Schizosaccharomyces pombe: one gene and its partners. Changing the gene in region 4 together with the main gene of any one other region gives a genetic interaction. Each region holds a gene or a part of one and is shown on either strand. Other genes may lie near its edges. The genes, in order: tsp0, alg12, meu10 and rhp1602.

The links.
Region 1: mutations in rhp1602 (region 4) and tsp0 together harm fitness less than expected from each alone (positive genetic interaction), as found in Schizosaccharomyces pombe (one large-scale study listed by BioGRID).
Region 2: mutations in rhp1602 (region 4) and alg12 together harm fitness more than expected from each alone (negative genetic interaction), as found in Schizosaccharomyces pombe (one large-scale study listed by BioGRID).
Region 3: mutations in rhp1602 (region 4) and meu10 together harm fitness less than expected from each alone (positive genetic interaction), as found in Schizosaccharomyces pombe (one large-scale study listed by BioGRID).

The regions. Positions count from the first base shown.
Region 1 is NC_003423.3:1,222,591-1,226,767, forward strand, and holds tsp0 (tspO-like protein), read left to right. Parts: upstream 1-1,961; 5' UTR 1,962-2,048; exon of another isoform or gene 2,049-2,112; 5' UTR 2,113-2,149; exon of another isoform or gene 2,150-2,309; intron 2,310-2,352; exon of another isoform or gene 2,353-2,362; 5' UTR 2,363-2,383; coding exon 2,384-2,851; exon of another isoform or gene 2,852-3,319; coding exon of another isoform or gene 3,320-3,378; coding exon 3,379-3,405; downstream 3,406-4,177. Other genes in the region: BAR adaptor protein Hob3, read right to left, coding at 1-516, 559-606; CCAAT-binding factor complex subunit Php2, read right to left, coding at 3,320-4,177.
Region 2 is NC_003423.3:1,082,761-1,087,168, forward strand, and holds alg12 (dolichyl-P-Man:Man(7)GlcNAc(2)-PP-dolichyl-alpha-1,6-mannosyltransferase), read right to left. Parts: upstream 2,595-4,408; 5' UTR 2,559-2,594; coding exon 2,400-2,558; exon of another isoform or gene 2,352-2,399; coding exon 1,367-2,351; intron 1,322-1,366; coding exon 825-1,321; 3' UTR 556-824; downstream 1-555. Other genes in the region: DNAJ domain-containing protein Mas5, read left to right, coding at 1-182; F1-ATPase gamma subunit atp3, read left to right, coding at 3,176-3,255, 3,335-4,160. UniProt on the Schizosaccharomyces pombe protein: Mannosyltransferase that operates in the biosynthetic pathway of dolichol-linked oligosaccharides, the glycan precursors employed in protein asparagine (N)-glycosylation.
Region 3 is NC_003421.2:1,866,396-1,871,948, forward strand, and holds meu10 (GPI-anchored protein Meu10), read right to left. Parts: upstream 3,701-5,553; 5' UTR 3,336-3,700; coding exon 2,085-3,335; 3' UTR 1,385-2,084; exon of another isoform or gene 1,327-1,384; 3' UTR 521-1,326; downstream 1-520. Other genes in the region: DNA-binding transcription factor, CBF1/Su(H)/LAG-1 family Cbf12, read left to right, coding at 5,355-5,553.
Region 4 is NC_003423.3:435,590-440,863, reverse strand, and holds rhp1602 (DNA translocase Rhp16b), read left to right. Parts: upstream 1-2,055; 5' UTR 2,056-2,086; coding exon 2,087-2,875; exon of another isoform or gene 2,876-2,927; coding exon 2,928-4,631; 3' UTR 4,632-4,774; downstream 4,775-5,274. Other genes in the region: nucleoporin Nup107, read left to right, coding at 1-1,590; peroxin pex11, read right to left, coding at 4,891-5,053, 5,103-5,274.

The DNA of each region.
Region 1 (4,177 bases), 790 kb from region 4:
AAGCTCACTGACCAGTTGATTATTGAGTGTCTCGTAGACCTCCTTCGCCATGGCTGCTTCTTTCTCGGTACGGGGAAGCTTAGTAGTGTCGTTGGAAGGCTTGTCGACCAGTTTTTGAACCTTAGCCCTCATAGCATCATGATCAAGTAATTTGTGATTACGCTTCGTGATAGCGGCATTAATATCGGGAAAGTAACTGCAGAACCTTGAGATGGGATCCAACACCGTTGTCCGGAAAGGACCGTCCAACTCTTTTACGGTATCGGCGTCCAAGTCTTCGACGACTTGTCGATAGTATGCACTGACACCATCCTTCGATCCAGCATCACCGTAAAATGCATCGATTGTGTTAGCGATTCTAGTTTGAGACGCAGTCATGGCTCTCAAAGCATCGAGATAACCTTTGGCTTCTTTTTGAAGCTTCTTTGCAGCTGATTCCATAGTTCTATAACGTCTTTCCTCTGTTTCAAATTCCCGATCCACCGTTCGCTCAACATGACCCGTCTTCATCATAACCTACCACAATGTTAGACAATTCTTCAACACTCAAATACATACCGAGGTACCCGCTCGGTTAACGGCCTTTTTGAATCCATGCCAACTCATTTTTGTGATATGGAAAAGAGAAGCGTCGGCATACCCAGATATCTTATGTCAGTTGATCGCTGCGCTAATGTTCGCTAGCTAAGCTGCATTGGATCTTTTAGTGGATTCAGCAGGATTCGCGTAGGGAACAATTCACGGAAGCAAAGCCATAACGTAAAGCCTGATTGCGAAGTTTATCATTGCGTTAAATAGAATAATGATAGTTTATTTCACAATGCAATTATAAAAAGATAAGGATGAAAAGCGTGTCGTTAATTTTGTGTTTAATTGATAGAGCAAGAGCATAATGGTGGTAAATTTGGGTTTCGAGGGTTGGCTTACTTTCATGTCACTATCAATAAATTACATCGCTTAAAAAATATATCTAAATTTTTCTTGTATAATCATCTGTAGTAAATCTCTGACTGCAATTAGAGGTCTATCCTCAGATAATTCTTGTTCACTAACTGCATCCAGCAGAAATCGCCTTATAAGGTAATATAGTTATGTTATAGTTTAATATAATATATCAATGTAAACATTTTAACTTGACAATATAGAGGTAATATCGTTTGCTCATAAATGGAAGATATTGTGGAGAAGCAATTTGAAATACGGACATTTTACCAACTTATAAATTTCATTAGAAGTGGTGGAATAAATGGTTTTGCATTATATGGATATAATGTTTTGAGGCTTCGACATGGAAAGACACGATTGCTACTTATCAATATATGAGATCATTCATGATAAAACTATAAAGAAAACGCTTTTCAGCGACATTTGAGCTAAAAAAACCCGGTCTCATAGTTTGCATCCTTACTCAAAAAGTGAAGAACTTAAGTTGTAGTAGTGGTGCATTACTTTGAGAGCTATTGTATAGCGATATTAGATATTGAAACAAGAACTCAGCCATTCAATGACAGTTTGTTTGTTCTGTGGGCAGTAAGACATCCAGATAATGCCCAAGAGAAAGATTCTTCTGAAAGTAAGAAACAAAAGCACCGAAATAAACCTTTCTTCTCTCTTTGTTGTCTTATCTAATTTTATAACTAAATTTGCCCATAAATCTCATCTGTGTGATGATAATTAACCGCATTTGACCAGCCCAAATATATTCTATTACAGAAAACAAGCGCTGCTACTAATAGATATACATAATTTTATAATATAATATTAATAATATAAAAAATTTAGTTGTACTGAAAATATTATCTTATGGAAAACTCCTTATAAACACTTTTTAGCGAGACACATCTACCACCACCTTACGCAGTATGAACACGTATTATACCCCAATACCTCGCTCCTCCTTCCCTTCTGTGACGTAATAGACGAGGTTATAAATATGGTGAATTATACATTCGAGTAGCTTCCAAGATCAAACTACAATTAAGTATTTCCTTTTATTTTAGTTTAGTATCGTATTTCTCTCATATCGATACTGTGCCCGTTTTTAAAATGTATGGAAGATTGAAAGATGGTTAAGCTTTATGGTCCAATTTTACTAATCTTCAATTCAATTAGAAGTTTCAACAACTCTTCTCCAAATTTCTAGTTTAATGTATGTCAGTTTTAATTATCAAACTTAACTCTAGCTACTCCATGTCTATTTGCTTAGCATGGTTTGAAAGACCTTTTGTATCTCGACATTATCTCTGCTGTTTGTAAACGAGCTGCATTAAGATTCGAAATACTTATGGTTTTTTAGTAGCAGTCGTTGTTAGTACTCTTTACATTCGTGGAATTTTTTTTTCCCGATTTCGCTAATCAACAGTAAACGATATTATTAAGTGTGATGGATTTGAACTATCAAGTATTCACTAGCATCTCCAAAAATTGGTGGTCCGCTTCTCTCGTTCCAGTCGCCTGCGGCTGGTTCATTGGGAATTCCTACAAGCCAAGAAAGGATTATGAGAACAAAAAGCAACCAAAGTTCCACCCCCCTGCATCTGCCTTTGGACCAGCATGGACACTACTATACCTAACAATGGGATATGCATCCCATTTGGCGTACAAGGCTGACCCTTTGATGATTACGAATGCCTCTCGAAATGGATCCATTTTATACATTGCACAGTTGGCCGCTAACTTTGCTTGGATGCCCTTGTTCTACGGATTAGCAAAACCAAAATTGGCTCTTGCCGATCTCGGCATTTTGACGGGACTTGTTGGTTGGCTTGCAAAGACATGGTGGCCTCTTGCACCAACGGCTTCCAAATGGTTAATTCCTTATTTAGCCTGGTTGGGATACGCTGGCTACTTGGTAAGTAATGTCACTAATTAAGGTTGATGTAGATCAAGAGAGTCAAAAGCATGACATGAGACAGTAGAATGTATTGTTGCATTTAAGAAAGAGCTTAAGCTGCACGATCAAAGTTTGAAAGAAACAGAAAAAAAAACACTAAAAAAACAATAACAGAAGAATCAGGTCGGAGAAAAAATATTATTGGAATAAGAAAAAGACAGCAGGAGGGATATGAGTTAAATAAAAAAAAAAAATTGGGCAGAACGAAAAAAGTCAAAACAAATTGATGGATAATAAATCGGTGACTAAAAAAATAATGAGTATAATATGATATGCAAAAAGGCCATGACTGAGTGATTTCGACTTGTTTCTTTCTCAAAAAATCACCAACAACATTGCAGTCCTAAATTGAACTTTGTCGGTAGGTCGACAACCTATACACAGTCTTGTGATTGTTTTGTATCTCTCTCAGCCTTAATTAGTTGACTACTTCATGGTTCCTGAAGAACCGTGTGAGGGATATGTTTGCTGACCAATTATCATAGAATCTTGGGTATTGCCTGTTAAATTAAGAGGATCGATATCGCTCGCTGGTAGTACAGGGAGACCTGTGGCTGTAGGATCATTGACATCAAGGTGATCAATCGAATCCATTGGATTGTGTGGTATAAAAGCTGCACCTGCAGACACGCTATCATCGTGATACACATCCAGACCAGGAAAAGCACTATGCTCATTTCCAGCTAGTGTAGATGAATAATCATTAGTACCTTTATGAAATGACCCTGGATGAGCAGCTGACGAAGTAGTAGTAGTAGTAGAGTTGTTGCCATTGGTAGAAGCTGTAGCAAAACTGCCTAGTTGAGAACCACTGGACATAAGATTCGATGTGTTTGAGTCGGTCTGTGGGAGCACTGTCATATCATGAGGCACTGGCCCCGAGGTGGAAGCGGTATTAGTGGGCCCACCCGACATGGCAATATTACCACTCATGTCTAGCTCGCCTCTGACATTTGGAGAAGTAATGTTGTTTCCAGAAGTATTGTTAGCAGGAGACATAGATGCTGTGGCAGAATTGATAGGAGCTGGAGACTCAGACGAGTTGGAGATAGAGCTAGGTCTTGAATCATTGCTATCCGCATATCCTTCAGACGTGTGAGTCACTTCAGAAGAAACGGTTGCAGGCACGGTGGCATCATTGGCATTTGTGGCATTAACATCGTCTCCTGTACTTCCTCCATTAGCAGCTGCCTCTGCAGCTTCCTGCGCTCTCAATTTTGATACTTTGTCAGCAGTCAAGAATCGGCCACCAGGACCACGAGGTCGTCGCATAGCATGCTTATG
Region 2 (4,408 bases), 650 kb from region 4:
CTCCCCGTAAGATTGAGAGCGCTCCCAAAAATGCTCACACTGAGGAATGTGTTTTGGCAACTGTCGATCCTACTGAGAAGGTTCGCATTGACAATAACGTGGACCCCACTACTGCCACTTCGATGGATGAAGATGAAGATGAAGAAGGTGGACACCCCGGTGTTCAATGTGCTCAACAGTAAACCTGTCTTATTCTGAATTTCTTTTCATTCATTTTTTCAAAATTGACAGCATTTGGATTCGTTATCCTTTTAAGAAGAGCCTAGACAATTATTTGTTTTCAGATGTTCCTAATCTTTTCCTTAGGTTTCGAGTTGCTATTGCATGTATACCTTATTCTCTTGTTCCTTTTTTTCATCCTGTAAACTCATTCCCCTCATTTGGTGTTAGTTTTCTTTTATCTCATAAAGATGTTTGATATCTAGCTTCGGCATATCTAACATACTTGCCTTTGATAGTTATTCTCTCGGTTCTTATCTTGGTCTTTATACTTCGTTAATACGCTGCTTCAATAAATATAATGACTGCAAAAAGTCGATTTATAAATATGAATACATAAATTAGATCTTGCTTGCTTTGTTTGTAAAATTTTAGTATTTGTGAGACAATTACAATTACGGCTTTTGGAAAAAGTAGTAAATAATTTTTGATGCGCTTCTGCACTTTGAATTGTCTGCGAACTAAAATTATGTTTATTCACTCTACTTATCGTTGCAATACAATTCAAGTGGGGGATGCTACTAAATTGTAACTGTAAATACAAAATCGTAAAACTTGAAGAATATACCTTGAAAAAATTTTACTCTCGTTTTCTTACTAAACTATCATCCCTGGGTGATATGCGTTAGAATCCGATCTTTGTCAATAAAAAAGTTCAGACGGTCTTCCCGGTAATCTCTTGTCAACAATGTGTCAGGAGATACCACCCTATAAATAGGAGGCCAAAGTTTAATCTCGTCAACTTTATGTCCGATGAATGAAGAGTAGTCATCAACTGCGGCAGGTTTAGTTGCTCGTGCTTTTTTGTTTGCCAAGATGTAAACGGGCTGTGCTGGATTTCTTATGGAGATTTCTCGCGGTATGTGATTACTTAACCATTTTGGAAGGATGGGAATTTTCGTGTTGGAATTAACGGATTCTATAACATCAAAAGTATCATTATATGATTCGGGATCTTCGGTGATTAAATAGTCGAATTGGGAAATAAATAAAGAATTTGAAAGCATTTTAGGATCCTCAGTTTTGTCATAGTACCACGATGGAAGCTGTGAAAATCGAGTTATACCTGTCATACACGGATATACATCCATGTGTACAGAAACTAAGTACGTTAGAATAATCTAATTGGTGAAAAAGTTGAACTTACCTTGGGGATGATTTTCAATTTCATATAAACGAGTTAATGCTAGACCACCAGGGTAAGCGTATTGAAAAACATATAACAAAAAACTGCTTCCAATAAACCCGAAGATTATCCCCGAAAAAAACATTAACCTTAGAATTTCAAATATTTTCTTGCCAAATTTACTGGCATTAAAGCATAAGGAAGCCCCAATTGCACTAGCTGCGTTAAACCAAGGGATCGAATAGATAATAAAGCGCCATTCTTTATGGCCTAAAAATGAATAAACAAATATAAAGAAAAGGGGAACATATATTAAAAGACGAGCAGGCTTGATGTAAACAAAGCTGATTAAAAGGAAGAGCAATGTCGTGGGATTGAGAAATAGCCAAGGAAGTCTCACAAAGTAGTAGTAAAAAGGGCTTGTTCCCCAATCTGAAGATTTCCCTTCAACAACATTGAATAAGAAAGCTTCTAATTCAGGCCAACACCAAGCCCCCCAGAAATAGGAATCAATGAGAAAAGAAGCTCCCACTGCTGCTAATGAAGAAGAAATACCAACGAGTAGCAATTTTGATAAAGTAATCCTCCTCTGAAGCAATAATGGTAGAATCAAACACATTAGAAGTAAAGCTATTTCGGACCTAACAATCGCTGCGGCAAAAACTAAAATACTGATAGAGCCGTAATAATTATTTTTAAGTAACAAAGAAAGAGAGTGGTTCGTAGCTATTAGTCCGAAAATATTTGACAATGGTCTGGACATATAGTACACGAGGTGAAATTGAGCGCAGCTAAACAGTATAAACAGTGCTCCAGACAATGTGCCGAATCGTTTGCTAATGGAGCAGCTTACAGAATTCATACTCTCCCAACTTAAATACCCAATTGTCCATCTAGCGGCAAGTAATGGATTAACAAACCAAGAAGGTATATAGGACAAAACTGCTATAAACAAACTCGGTATGAAACTCCGTTTAACGGCTCCTGGAAACTCCAGATGATCATACTAAAATATGTGAGTAATTTAAATAAGGAAATAATTATCAACTACTACCTTTGACAAATCCCAACGATACGTCTGAATGTCATGAATCGCTTGCATAGCAAACGACTCTTCTACCTTTGTAAACGGAGTTTTGTACGAATAATACCCTATGCATGTCACAAGCAAAATATTTGCCAAATACCAACAAATGCTCTCTTTAGAAGTCATCCCGCTTCATCATTTATTGAAAGCATACAAATAGTTATTGGAGAAAGAGCAAAGGTGAATGAATATACGTAAATAAAGCAACGATTAATTTTGCTAAATCTAGTTTAAGGAGATTCAAGGTAATGATTTATTTGTTATAAACAAGGGTTGTTCGCTGCACTGTCTTCTAACTTTGCATCTTTGTGTACGTTAAGTATCTGCTTCTCCTCTTTTAATCGAACATTTTATATGTTAAATTTTAATTACCTCTACTATTTGCAAAACGAAATTCACATCTTTCATCAAAATTTAATTATTCCTTCTGTTTAGGGAAACTTTGAAAGAATACAACGATCCTCGTTAACTGATTTACCATGGTAGTTTAACGTATAGCGTTTTGGAGGAATATTCATTATAGAAAACGTGCTATTATAATTAAGGTGAGAGATATAATTGCATTTCATTTATTATTTAAACTAATTTTTCTTCTTATCGTTCCTGAAAATCGTTGCTAGTACGGTCTATAGAACGATAGATTCGTCGGTTCCAATAGCATGCTTTACCACGGGTATACACCAAACCTCCCCCCATATCATTACGAAACAGGAATCAATAAAAGCTAACGTCAATTGAACATTATGCTTCGTCAAACGCTAACTCAGGCGTCTCGGATGCGTCCTTGTATATCTGTAGTTGGATTTCGGGGTTTTCACGCTAGGTATGTTGTTTAGGTTTACTTTTTGTGATTCACAAACATATTCGAAGTTGAATGCATTTTTTCTAACGATTTTTTATAGTTCTCCTTGTGAGGCAACGCTAAAAGAGATTGAACAAAGGCTGAAGTCTATTAAGAACATTGAAAAGATTACCAAGACCATCAAAACTGTAGCTCAAACTAAGCTTACTAGGGCTCAACGTGCTATGGAAGCTTCTAACAAATACTATCGTGTATCTGATGAAGTGTTTAAGGAGGCTGGAACTAAAGCACCTGAGGAGGGTAAAACTCTTATGGTTGCTTGCTCTAGTGACAAGGGTCTTTGTGGTGGTATTCATTCTTCAATCTCTCGTCTTATCCGTAGAGAACTACATGATCCTAAGACATTTGAGAACACAAGTTTGTGTATTTTGGGAGAAAAAGTTCGCACTCAATTACTTCGTTTCTGTCCCGAATCTTTCTACTTGACTTTTGCACACATTGGTGGAGCTAGTCCTTCTTTTGAAGAAGCTTTACAAATTTCTAGTAACATTTTGGAACATGCTAAAGACTATGATAGAATTGTTCTCGTCTATAACAAGTTTGCTTCCGCTGTCTCGTTTGAAACTGTGATGAAGAACTTGTATACAACTAAGGCCATCAATGAATCCCCCAATCTCTCTGCATACGAGGTAAGTGATGAAGTCCATCAACCACTCATGGAATTTGCATTTGCCAATGCTATTTTTTCTGCCATGGCGGAAGCTCATTGCAGTGAAATGTCATCTCGTCGTAACGCCATGGAAAATGCAAGCAAGAGTGCTGGAGATATGATTAACAAGTTTTCCATCCAATATAATCGTCAACGTCAAGCCTCCATTACTAACGAACTTATCGATATCGTTACTGGTGCAAACTCTTTGGCTTAATTCTTGATCTCTTTGGTAAGGTTCAAATGCATGTTAAGATTTTTAAATTAAAGAAGTTTGTGAAATATAAGCGCTGAAGTCAACGATATTTCTTGTCTATTTAGCTTAACTTTTTACCTTTATACCATTTGAACCGTAATTCATTGAAAACGTTCAGATTAAGCTTACCTTTTGTTCTTAATAAATTTACGTCCATCTTTTTATCGTAAGTATTTTTCATGTAGAGAATGTTGAAGAGGTTTTTGTAA
Region 3 (5,553 bases), on a different chromosome or scaffold from region 4:
AGTTTAATAAATTCCTTACCTATAAAAAAATAATGGATCGTATGCTATGAAGTGTAATTATTTACTTATTGTGAATTCAGTCACACTTTGAGTTCCAATGTTTTGTAGGTGAAAATTTTGATGAAATCTGTTACGAATAAAGTATGTACGACCAAAATTTAATTTTCAAATCAATATTTTCCGTTTAGCAATAAATCCATTTACCTACCTTTTTGTGAGTCTCTTAGACAACAACATGCTTAAACAACCTCTTAACTTGCATTGCTCTATTGGTAATGCTTAATCAAACTGTTATATCCCGTGTGTACCAAAAATTAAATCGAACGCAAAACTAACACTATAATAACATTTAACATTTCTAATCGTAGCTATAATTAAAATCATTGCTCTACAATCATTTTTAAGTTTTAAAACATATTGTCTGAATATACTGGTATTTTTGGTATGTTATTCTAACATTATTTTTCCAAATTATTATTATTATTATTAATTTTTTTTTAAATTATTTTTCCAAAAAACTGTTAATCACTATACAGAATCTATGAAGCTTTTATTTACACCTGTTAAATGGTTTAGATCCATCCTTCATTAATTCATAAATACAGATAATTCGTAGCAAACTCATTTCAAATTATTCATCTCTGCTTTGGGCAATTCACAAGTTTGTTACCCTTAAACAAAGCAAAAGCCAAAAAGCATCATCTTTACGAAGTATCAGAAACTGGAAAGGCAAATTGCATTTTCTTTCATCACAACACTCCTTGTATGTTCACAAAAACTATTGCTTCAATGAAACACATTCTCATTCATAATGAATGATGCTCTCTTATCATTGTTGTTCTATCATTAATTTTTTTATTTTATTTATTTTTTTTTAATCAAGCAGTAAGTTTATCATATTTGCAACTTCAAATGTTTGATCCAAACCGTCCAAAAATTAACAAAAGGACAAATTACGTCAAATCAGTAAGTAGTAGGATCGTTTAGTTATGATCATTGGAAATTGTTTCAGTGATCGGCTCGGTTGCAAGTCGTTTAAACTTGACAACCAAATATGAAACATTTGTGATTGCCAAATTCATCTTTCGTTGAGAAGTCATCCTTTCTCTCTTTCTTTTCCATACTTCATATACACTCTCTACTACTTAACAAGGTTCGACCAACTTTGTTTCAAGAAATTTTGCCTTCCTCCGCATTCGCGTAAAAATTTCATCCACTTTCCTTACCTTCCTTCTATCCGATTGCAATTTTTTACAGGCACGAGTGCCTCGGATGGATAAGGCTTGAAACACCCGAGGCAACACAAAGAAAAATATTTTTTGCATTCTGAATACCACTAATTGTTAGTTGACTAAACAAACGACGAAAGGCATGCTTGACTCACTCATGTAATTTCACATTCCTTGGTTTATATATTAATTCATTTGGATGCCTGTCAGATAAATTGTTCAGCTCTCGTACTTCCGTTTTTATCCCACTTAAATCATATGTTTCATGGCATAAAATTAGTACCATCTACGCGCGGGTTTAACTGTTAGTAAAAAATTGCCTTTTACTCTACAACAAGACAAACAAATGATTCATCTAGAAAAGTAGCGTGCTGTTATCGATAGACAAACATAATAACTGGTAGTTTTGTGATAGTAAGAATAATGATGAATATTTTTGTTTTAAAAATAAGAAGCCAATAGAACCTGGAGTCACTAAAAATACTTTTTTTTTTTCATTCTCCTAACCGTACTAAAAAATAAATAAATAAACCGAGGAAAAGCCAACCATTGGTAAGAAAAAGTGTTCACTATCCATACTCACAACAAAACAACTGAAAACCGGTTTCTCGTCATTTCACTGTGTCCATTAAGGAACAGCAAATAGTAAAGTGATCCAAAATGAAGCAACGAAACTTATCGCCGTTTTTTTTTGTAATCCTTGTTGGTTGAAAATCTTCCTTCTAATTATTTTGAAAGCATTTATTTACTTTTTAAATAGAAACAGGTTAATCATAGACGGCATGGCTTTGAAGGGTAGATTTCGATCTTGCAAATGAACTTGCGTTTACATTGTCAACTTTGTCTCTCTTGGCTTTAAAGCAAGTGCGCAAAGCCACTTACTAAGACAAGGAAAAAGGTAACAAGACGGAAAGGTCGGCTATCTACCTTAGCGGCACCACTTTGTTTGACCGGTGATGTACTGTTCTTAGAGCCTTTAATTGTTCCATTTCCTAACAGTTCATCAAAATCGTCATCATCGAAAGAAGACTCCTTGCTTTGTCTGGGATTGTCAACCGATCCTCGGCAAACAAACGATTTGCCCTTGATGATCCCGTCGCTCTGGCGGAAGGGACAAGTAAAGTCGCTCGATGTAGTTTGTATGTTCAAACCTCCTTTAACATCTCGTAACTTGGGAAGTTCAACGCTGCTAAAGTTACCGGTAAAGTCGATGGATCCTGCTACGGTCTTCAATTTATCATATCCTTTGATTTGTGCCAATGCTGCACTGTTGGCAATCATAAAAGTACCTCCAATGCTCTCAAGTTGCTTGAAATTTAGCGAAGTCAATTCCTGATTGCCTATAAAGAAAAGAGACTGTCCAATTCGTGTAATGTTTGGGCATGATATATCCTGCAACGTGCTGTTGAGGAAGCCTAAAAATCCTTTGACCTCTTCTAAATTCGAAAGTTGTAAGTGAGCTACGCGTTGAATCGTCATGTCACCCACGGTTTTAAGTCTAGGAAGGGTAACACTGATCTCCCTGGCATTGTAAGAGACGTAAAACTTCGACTCCACACTTTCCAAATAGGGCATATCAACTTCTCGCAAATAATTGTTGTTAACAATTACCATCGTATCCGTAGTATTCAAAGAAATACCTGCAAGTGTGGAGAGTTGGGTATCCTCGATGGTGAGCTTATGGGCCTTTTTGATCCCCTTATCGAATCGAATCCCTTGAAGATTTGGCAAGATACGCATCGTTAATTGGCCAACATTTGCCAGTTGAGGTGCGTAAACACTAGCGAGTCGTGTGAGTTTTTCAAACCGTAATTCTCCACCCACACTGGAAATGGATGTCAGGGCTACCGATGCAAGGTAGTTGTTATTACGAATGATGAGATCACCGGTAATGGTCTCTATTCTATTGAAATTCAAAGAAGTAGCTGAGCTAGTGTTCATGATGATAGAGCCATTCACAACCTGACAGTTGCTTAAAACGTCCAAGTCATTCTGTGTCTCAATAATGTACTCGGGGGCACCACAAACCGCTGGGGTTGCACCAGCGATCACTACGCTCCACGCAGTGAAACTGGTAAACAAATAAAAGCGTGAAGACAAGCGCATTTTATGATAAATGAAGAATGAATATAAAGGAGGGAAAAGTTGTTAGGGATAATAAAAGCAATAAAATCTATCAAGTACGACCAAAATTTTTGTCGTAGCAGGAAGGGATTGGAAATGAAATTATGAATACTGAAGAATGAATTCGGGTCTTTGTAGGGTTTGGAAATGATGAACCTTTAATTGTTTATGATTTCCTTGTTGATTAAAGTTTGGACAAGAAAAAGTGCCTTAAACGAATGCTAATATAACAAAAGTTTATGTATATATATGCTGGGTAAGAAAAGAGGACAGAGCGAAGTCTTTCTTCGTAATGGATTATTTATACGATTTTTGTTAAAAGGAATAAAAATGTAGCGGTTATTTCCAGGTAGTTTACTCACTGGCATGCCCTTTTATAGATTTCGAAACCGCCCAACTCATCTTAATATGGTAAAAGTTACTCAGGTTTATACACCCCAATTACTAAAAACATCTTAAGTAATAAGTTGAATGTATGTTAATGGACTATATGCGGTTCACACATTCGTTAATTCATTTATAAATACGGCCTTGAGCCTGCACCACACCTACCATCAACAACAACTTTCAACAATAACAAACACAAATGAACAGCGAAAAATAACGAGAGTAAATACCAAGAAAGTAATCAACGCAACTCTTTAAAATTTTTTTTTTTCATAATGTAAACAAACCTACTTGGTATAATTGTTTACTTATTTATTTACTTTGCAATGTTAGTAAACAATGTCAGCAACGTCATGCGATCGACTTTTTCATTGTTTTTCTCTACACGAGGTAACATTATCCCATTGAGGGGTATAGCGTCCGTTGCGGAGGAAAGTTGATCATAAGTGACCCACGGATTGTCTCTATTTTACAATGCTCAACTTGACTGGTTGAATGTTGAGAGTGTTTACTTCGTTGATTACCAACATTTGCTATGTCAACGTAAAACTGCACAAGTTGAACATAACTGGAAAAACTTACTTTGGATTATTATAACTGACTAATCAATAGGACTCATCCGTTGGATCTAGGATTCGCTGCAAATCCTCATCATACATTATTTTGATTCCCGAAAACTGCTTGCTTTAAATTTTTTAAAATCTTAAACCTTTTTTTTAACCTTTTCATTTAAAACATTTTTATCTCCTTCGCAAGCTCAAAAGTCGAGAATTGGCATCGTTGAGGTGTCAACCGACAACGGACCTAAAAAGGCGCCGACAAGCAAAAAAATTTGTACGTAATTGCTATCAGGAATTTAAGAAGCGGCAAAACTTCATCTGCTTAATATTCAAAGTGAGTCTCGAATGTCACCAACGGAAGCCAAATCTTCGGTCTTGCTAAGAGGCTTACCTATCCTATCGTGCATTTTATTTTTTCAATTTACCATCCTGGGAATACTAAGTGGACGTGCGTGGTTGGTATGAAAACATTCTGCACCATTTGGACATCCAACAGTTAAAATTTTGCGAAGTCACAGTTGTTGGCCGTTCTATTTTCAGTGGTATTCCCGTTAATATCACACTCAATTCGTGCTATAGGCAAAATCGGAAAAACCAAAGTACATGTTGTTTAACGATTTTTCGGTAACGTCGTAAGGCTGTATATCCAAGTAATACCGGATTAACATTTTACTTCTCCGAATTAGGGAATCATGTAAATAATAAAAAGAAAAAAAAGGAAGATTAGGACTGCTACAAAAATTAATGAATTGACTTAAGAAATTTGGTTCCTGACTTTGTACGAAAACACAACACTTTTGTAACAACCTTTACGCTAGCTAAATAGTTTACTTTTTACCCTTGATAGGTCATCCTGTTCGTTGCAATTAATGTTGAGGGAAAGTTAAGTGATCTCAGCTCATCAAATACCAGACATTGCGCGTACATGAACTTTTAAACTTAACGTCCACGGATCTCTTAAATTCAGCTGTAGAGGTGAAAGGCTTGTTTTAAAAGTTTTAAAATTTCCAAACGGATATAATAGATTGCATCCTTTTCACCTTCGTCAAATTCTATGTCCCCAAACGTTCAGAAACGTCCTTCTTCCGAAGATATTAAAACACAGGAGTTTTATGATTCAACTAGGAACATAAGAAGAGTCGCTACAGCAATAGGATCCATCAATGCTAATTTAGAGTCTCCACAATTGTATTCACTCGCCAAATCCACCTCTTTACAGGAACCCGTTCGCATCTATGGAGACTCGGTTTCAC
Region 4 (5,274 bases):
GGAATTTTGGAGTATAGAGATAACCTCATCGACGATGTTTTGCAATCCGAGACTTCCGGTAATAAAAGAAAGGAACTCTTGCGCAGATCATGTTTAGCACTTACAAAAAATAAACGGATAGACTCTTATGAACGCGCTCTTTATGGCGCTTTATGTGGAGACTTGAACTCCGTCCTTGATGTGTGCACAACTTGGGAGGATGCGATGTGGGCTTATTATAATAGTATGACTCAGTACAATTTGGATGTTTATCTTTCTTCTAAGGCTCCTCAAACAGAAACACAATTGCCTCCAGTGGATAGTGGTTTAGGCTTAACTCCCGAATTGATTTTTAATTCGCTGAGTAACAGCTCTATTGCTTCAATCCAAGAAGAAGCATCACATCCCCTAATTAAACTTCAAACTCATATCATTTGTAATAAAATTTCGGAAATTTTGAGCTCTGCTCACATACAGTTGGAAGCAATTCGGACTGGAAATGCCCCTGAGTCTGGGGATTTGGTTACACCTCCTCTTCTTCGAATACTGACACACATAATTTTATTTTTGAAGATTTCAGGTCTTGCTGTGGATGAATATACTTCTGACTCTATTATCCAAGCGTATATTGAGTTATTGGCTAGTGCTAAAAAAGTTAACTTGGTTCCATTGTATATTCAGTACCTATCAAATCAAGTGCAGTACGAGGCTTATTCTCGATTCCTTATTCTTGTTGATGAAGAAAGTGCAAGATCAGAACAACTTCAATTAGCAAAAAAATATTCATTAGATATTAATCATGCGGCGTTACTAGCTGTTGAATATGTGTATGATGAAGTTGTCTCTGTTTCTCCCGAAGAAGTTCACACAGTATATTTAAAATCTATTGAGGAGCCAGTTGAACCATCTTATAAAAAGCTCATCTGCACCCTTGAATGGTTATTAATCACTTCACAGACAGATGAGCTGCTCCGATTTGCAAACCTTGTATATCGTTTCTTTTTAAGCATTGGCGAGCTAAATAGTGCATACGATCTTTATACACATATTCCCTCTGATGCTTTGAATACGCTAAGCTCTAGCGATGGTGAACCCGAAAACGATTCTAAGTTTAGAGATGCGTATGAACTGATGAACTATCGAGCTCTCTGCAGAGCACTTAAATTTTATCAAGAATGGGAAGAGCTTTCTAAACAAGAAGTATTTGAAGATTCTGCAGTTACGAAAGCTAGCACTTCTTATAAAGTTTGGAAAAAAAAATTGAATTTTGCCTCTCGTAAATGTGTAAAGTCCTTCACAGACTTACTTCAAGCTAACTGGCTTCACCCGTCTACATTGGAGCTGAAACCAGATGATGATCCTTTGCTTTATAAAACTCTTATGACTATTCGGAATTTGTATGTGCCTGAACTAATTCTCGGTTTGCATAATGTTTATTTTAGCCTTGAGGACTATGATAGCTGTTTTGCTCTGGCTAACGAAGTTGCCAGTGAAGATTTAAAACTTTACCATTGTCTTATTAAAAGTGGCAGACTGGTTGAATATGTTTCTTATTTAGGAAAGGCCGGAGAATGTAGCCTTTCAACCCCTAATGGGCTTTTTTCTTTATAAGTGTCAATGTATAAGAGATTCAATTCGAAAACTAATAGTGATGCTGCAAATGTGGTATCATCTTCGCATTGATAACCAGTTTATCTTAATACGTTGATTTTAAAACTAAGCTGAAAAACTTCCATAACTTTTGACTATTTCTAATATAAATTTTTTTTTCCAAAAAGTTAGACTATGAACTAAATCCAGAATTGCAGACACTTTGTTGCAAACATTCTTATAAAATTGTTTGAAAGTTCGGTTAATTAGGACCATTGCGCAAGTTCTTAAATCCTATAGTCGATTTGAGCAGTCTTTACAAATTTCGACTCGAAAACTGTGTTAGTGGATATATTGTGTAGGGTTTACTTTTATACTCAAAAAAACATTAAAGTAAGCAAATAGAAATATTTGAGTTCTTGACACCAATCTTCACTTAGTAAGAACCCATCGTATACAAGCTATTTCTACTACCACTGAATGTTCACGTTCAGTGCAATTTGCTTGAGGGAGCTTGATGGAAAAAGCGTCTAAAAATAAGGAAAGTGGGGTTAAAAAAGCGAATAACTCTTTTTTACAAAATTTCGGTGTAAATACAGCAGGGAAAGAAAATGAATCTACTTCATTACCAAGGTTGCCCAAAAGCGAAGATGAATCCATCCCAAAACAATCTATAAAATCTAAGAATAAAAAGAAAACCCAACATTTTCTTTCTGATGCTTTTGAAAGCTTAAAGAGACAGGAGATAGATACAAACGAAAAGGAAGTAATCGTCTCCGCGCCTATAACTAGTAAACCAGCTCAGGTTTTTTATAGTAAAAAATTGGAACGTAAGGATGAGGGAATAAGGAAATGGGAGAAAGATCCATTTGCCCCTATCTCAGTAAAATCTGGTGCGTGGAAGAAACCATATACCAAGGTTCCTGAAGTCTCAATAAATAAAGCAACTTCGAAAAGAACGGACTTGATAAATGATAAGCCTATTGTGATTCCAATTCCCAGAGCTTCTACTTCAACGCTATATTTTGGTAAGCACAATAAACCAACTTCTGAAAATAGAAAAGGCCCCATAGGTATACCCACTGAAGAAATCTTAACTTCCCAAAATACTCAAGCAATGCTACATAAACTGTTTGAGAATAATGTGCTGGACAATGTTAAGGACGATTCAATGCAGAGGCAGTCCTCGTTTATTCCTGGCATGCATATACGTCTACTAGATCATCAAGTCCAAGGACTTACTTGGCTCAAATCAAGAGAAACGGTGTCTAAATCTTCGGCTTCCGGCGGAATTCTAGCAGATGATGTAAGTCATGAAAATATTATTTGTTGTTATTCAGTGCTAATAATTTTTTTAGATGGGATTGGGAAAAACTATTCAAATGATCGCTTTAATTCTTTCGCATCCCTTACCAAAGAAGAAGCATTCAATCAAATCCACTTTGGTAGTAGCTCCACTCAGTTTAATTAAACAGTGGGAATCAGAAGTGCAGACGAAAAGCAAGTTGACAGCAATCGTTTATCATGGAGCATCCAGATATAAATTACTTAAAGTAATTCACGAATACGATGTAGTAATAACCACGTATCAAATACTAGTTTCGGAATGGGTGTCTCACAATACTACAGGTACAGACGGCAAATCGCCTACTGAAGCTAAAAGTTATGAAAAGAAAAAGCCAAGCTTGTTTGCCTTCTATTGGTGGAGGATAATACTGGATGAAGCACACACTATAAAAAATAAATCTTCTAAATCAGCTCTTGCCTGTTGCGCATTACAGGGCATCAATCGCTGGTGTCTCACTGGGACACCTTTACAAAACAATGTAGATGAACTTTACTCACTTGTGAAATTTCTTCATATTAATCCATTTAACGACCAATCTGTTTGGAAAGATCAAATTTCTTTACCTTTATGTCAAGGAGAGGAAAACTTGGTTTTTAAAAGACTTCGAATGCTTCTGAGTGTAATCATGTTACGACGAACGAAGACTTTGTTAGAGGCAAACGCGGGCAAAGATGGTACAGGTGGTGCTTTAAAACTTTCAAAGCGTTTGGTGTATAAGGTTATTTGTAAATTTGAAGAAAGTGAACGTGACTTTTACAGTAACTTGGCACGAAACATGGAACGAACGATGTCAAATTTTGTTAATTCGGGGAAATTAGGCAAGAACTATACTAACATACTGTGTCTTCTCTTGCGTCTACGACAGGCTTGCAATCATCCTCAGTCTTTAAATTTTCAATTTGAACAAGACGTTGATGCATTTAATGCGTTGGATGGGGCAGCAAACACGAACAAATTAGCTTCCGATCAAGATGTTGATGATTTGGCAAACCTATTAGAAACAGTTGAAATAGGAAGCCGTAAAAAGTCTTTTTGTACAATTTGTATGGCCGAGCTTCCTCCCGATTTTCATGAAAAAAAATGCAAAGATTGTTCTCGAAATTTTAAAGAATTGGATAAAGGAATTCAAGACCCTAATGATAAGACGCTATACAAGTCATCCAAAATTAGGGAAATCCTCAAAATTTTATCTCTAGATGAACAAGAAGAGGATGATACAGTTCGGGGGTTACGAAAAACAATAATTTTTTCTCAATTTACCACTTTTTTGGATATCATTGACTTACATTTGAGGAAAGCCGGTATAGGTTTTGTTCGGTATGACGGTCGCATGAACAATCGTGCTAGAGAAAAATCTTTGGACCTCCTTCGCTCTGATAGTGGAACTCAAGTACTATTATGCTCTTTAAAGTGCGGTGCTCTTGGTTTAAATTTAACATGTGCAAGTCGTGTAATACTTTGCGATGTTTGGTGGAACCCTGCAATTGAAGAACAAGCTATCGATAGAGTACATCGTATTGGACAAAGACGTGATGTACTTGTTTATAAGCTAGTGGTTGAAAATACAATTGAAGAAAAAATTGTCGAACTTCAGAATCTTAAACGAGACCTTGCCAAGCAGGCTCTCGGAGATGGCAAAAAGTCGGTTTTTACCTCCAAAAAATTAACACTTAATGATCTTTTGTTTCTATTTAACAAGCGTGCCGCGGCTTAAAAATCAGAAGGTGATAAAGGACCTAGCTTTTGAACTAAATTTTTGGTACGTGAATCGTTGTATGACTTTAGACGACTGTTTAATGAATAATATCTACTATTACATATGTTATTAAAAATATTAGAAAATATCATTTAGTCAAATGATTAAGTAAAAGTAAAATACTGAAGGAATGCACCTGGATGTAAATCTATATAAGGTAGATATTTGCCGAATGATACACCATTCGTAAAACATTGTAATCTGAAAAGAAAGCAATTTAGTAACTACCAATCCATGTTTTATAGACACTCATAAGACTCGTGGTAATACCAGCAGCAGCCACGAATCCGTCATTAACCTTAAGGATATCCAGTTCGGCAAGAGGAATTGTAGCGTCCAAAGCGTTTTGCAAAGCAAAGAACAAAATTTCCTTACGCTCTCTGCACAAATGTGGTTAGATATGAAAAATATGCATAAAAAGAAACTTACTTTTGCAAAGTCTGCAAACTGGTCGAATCTTTCTCAGATGCTTCTTGCGTTGCACTCTTGATCTTCTTCGAGTTTTGCTGTAGCTCATAGCATCCAGCTAAACAGGAAGAAAGCAGAGCGACAGCAAGACATTGCTTTCCAATCGTAGAAATCTGCTTTGAATGGGAGCAAG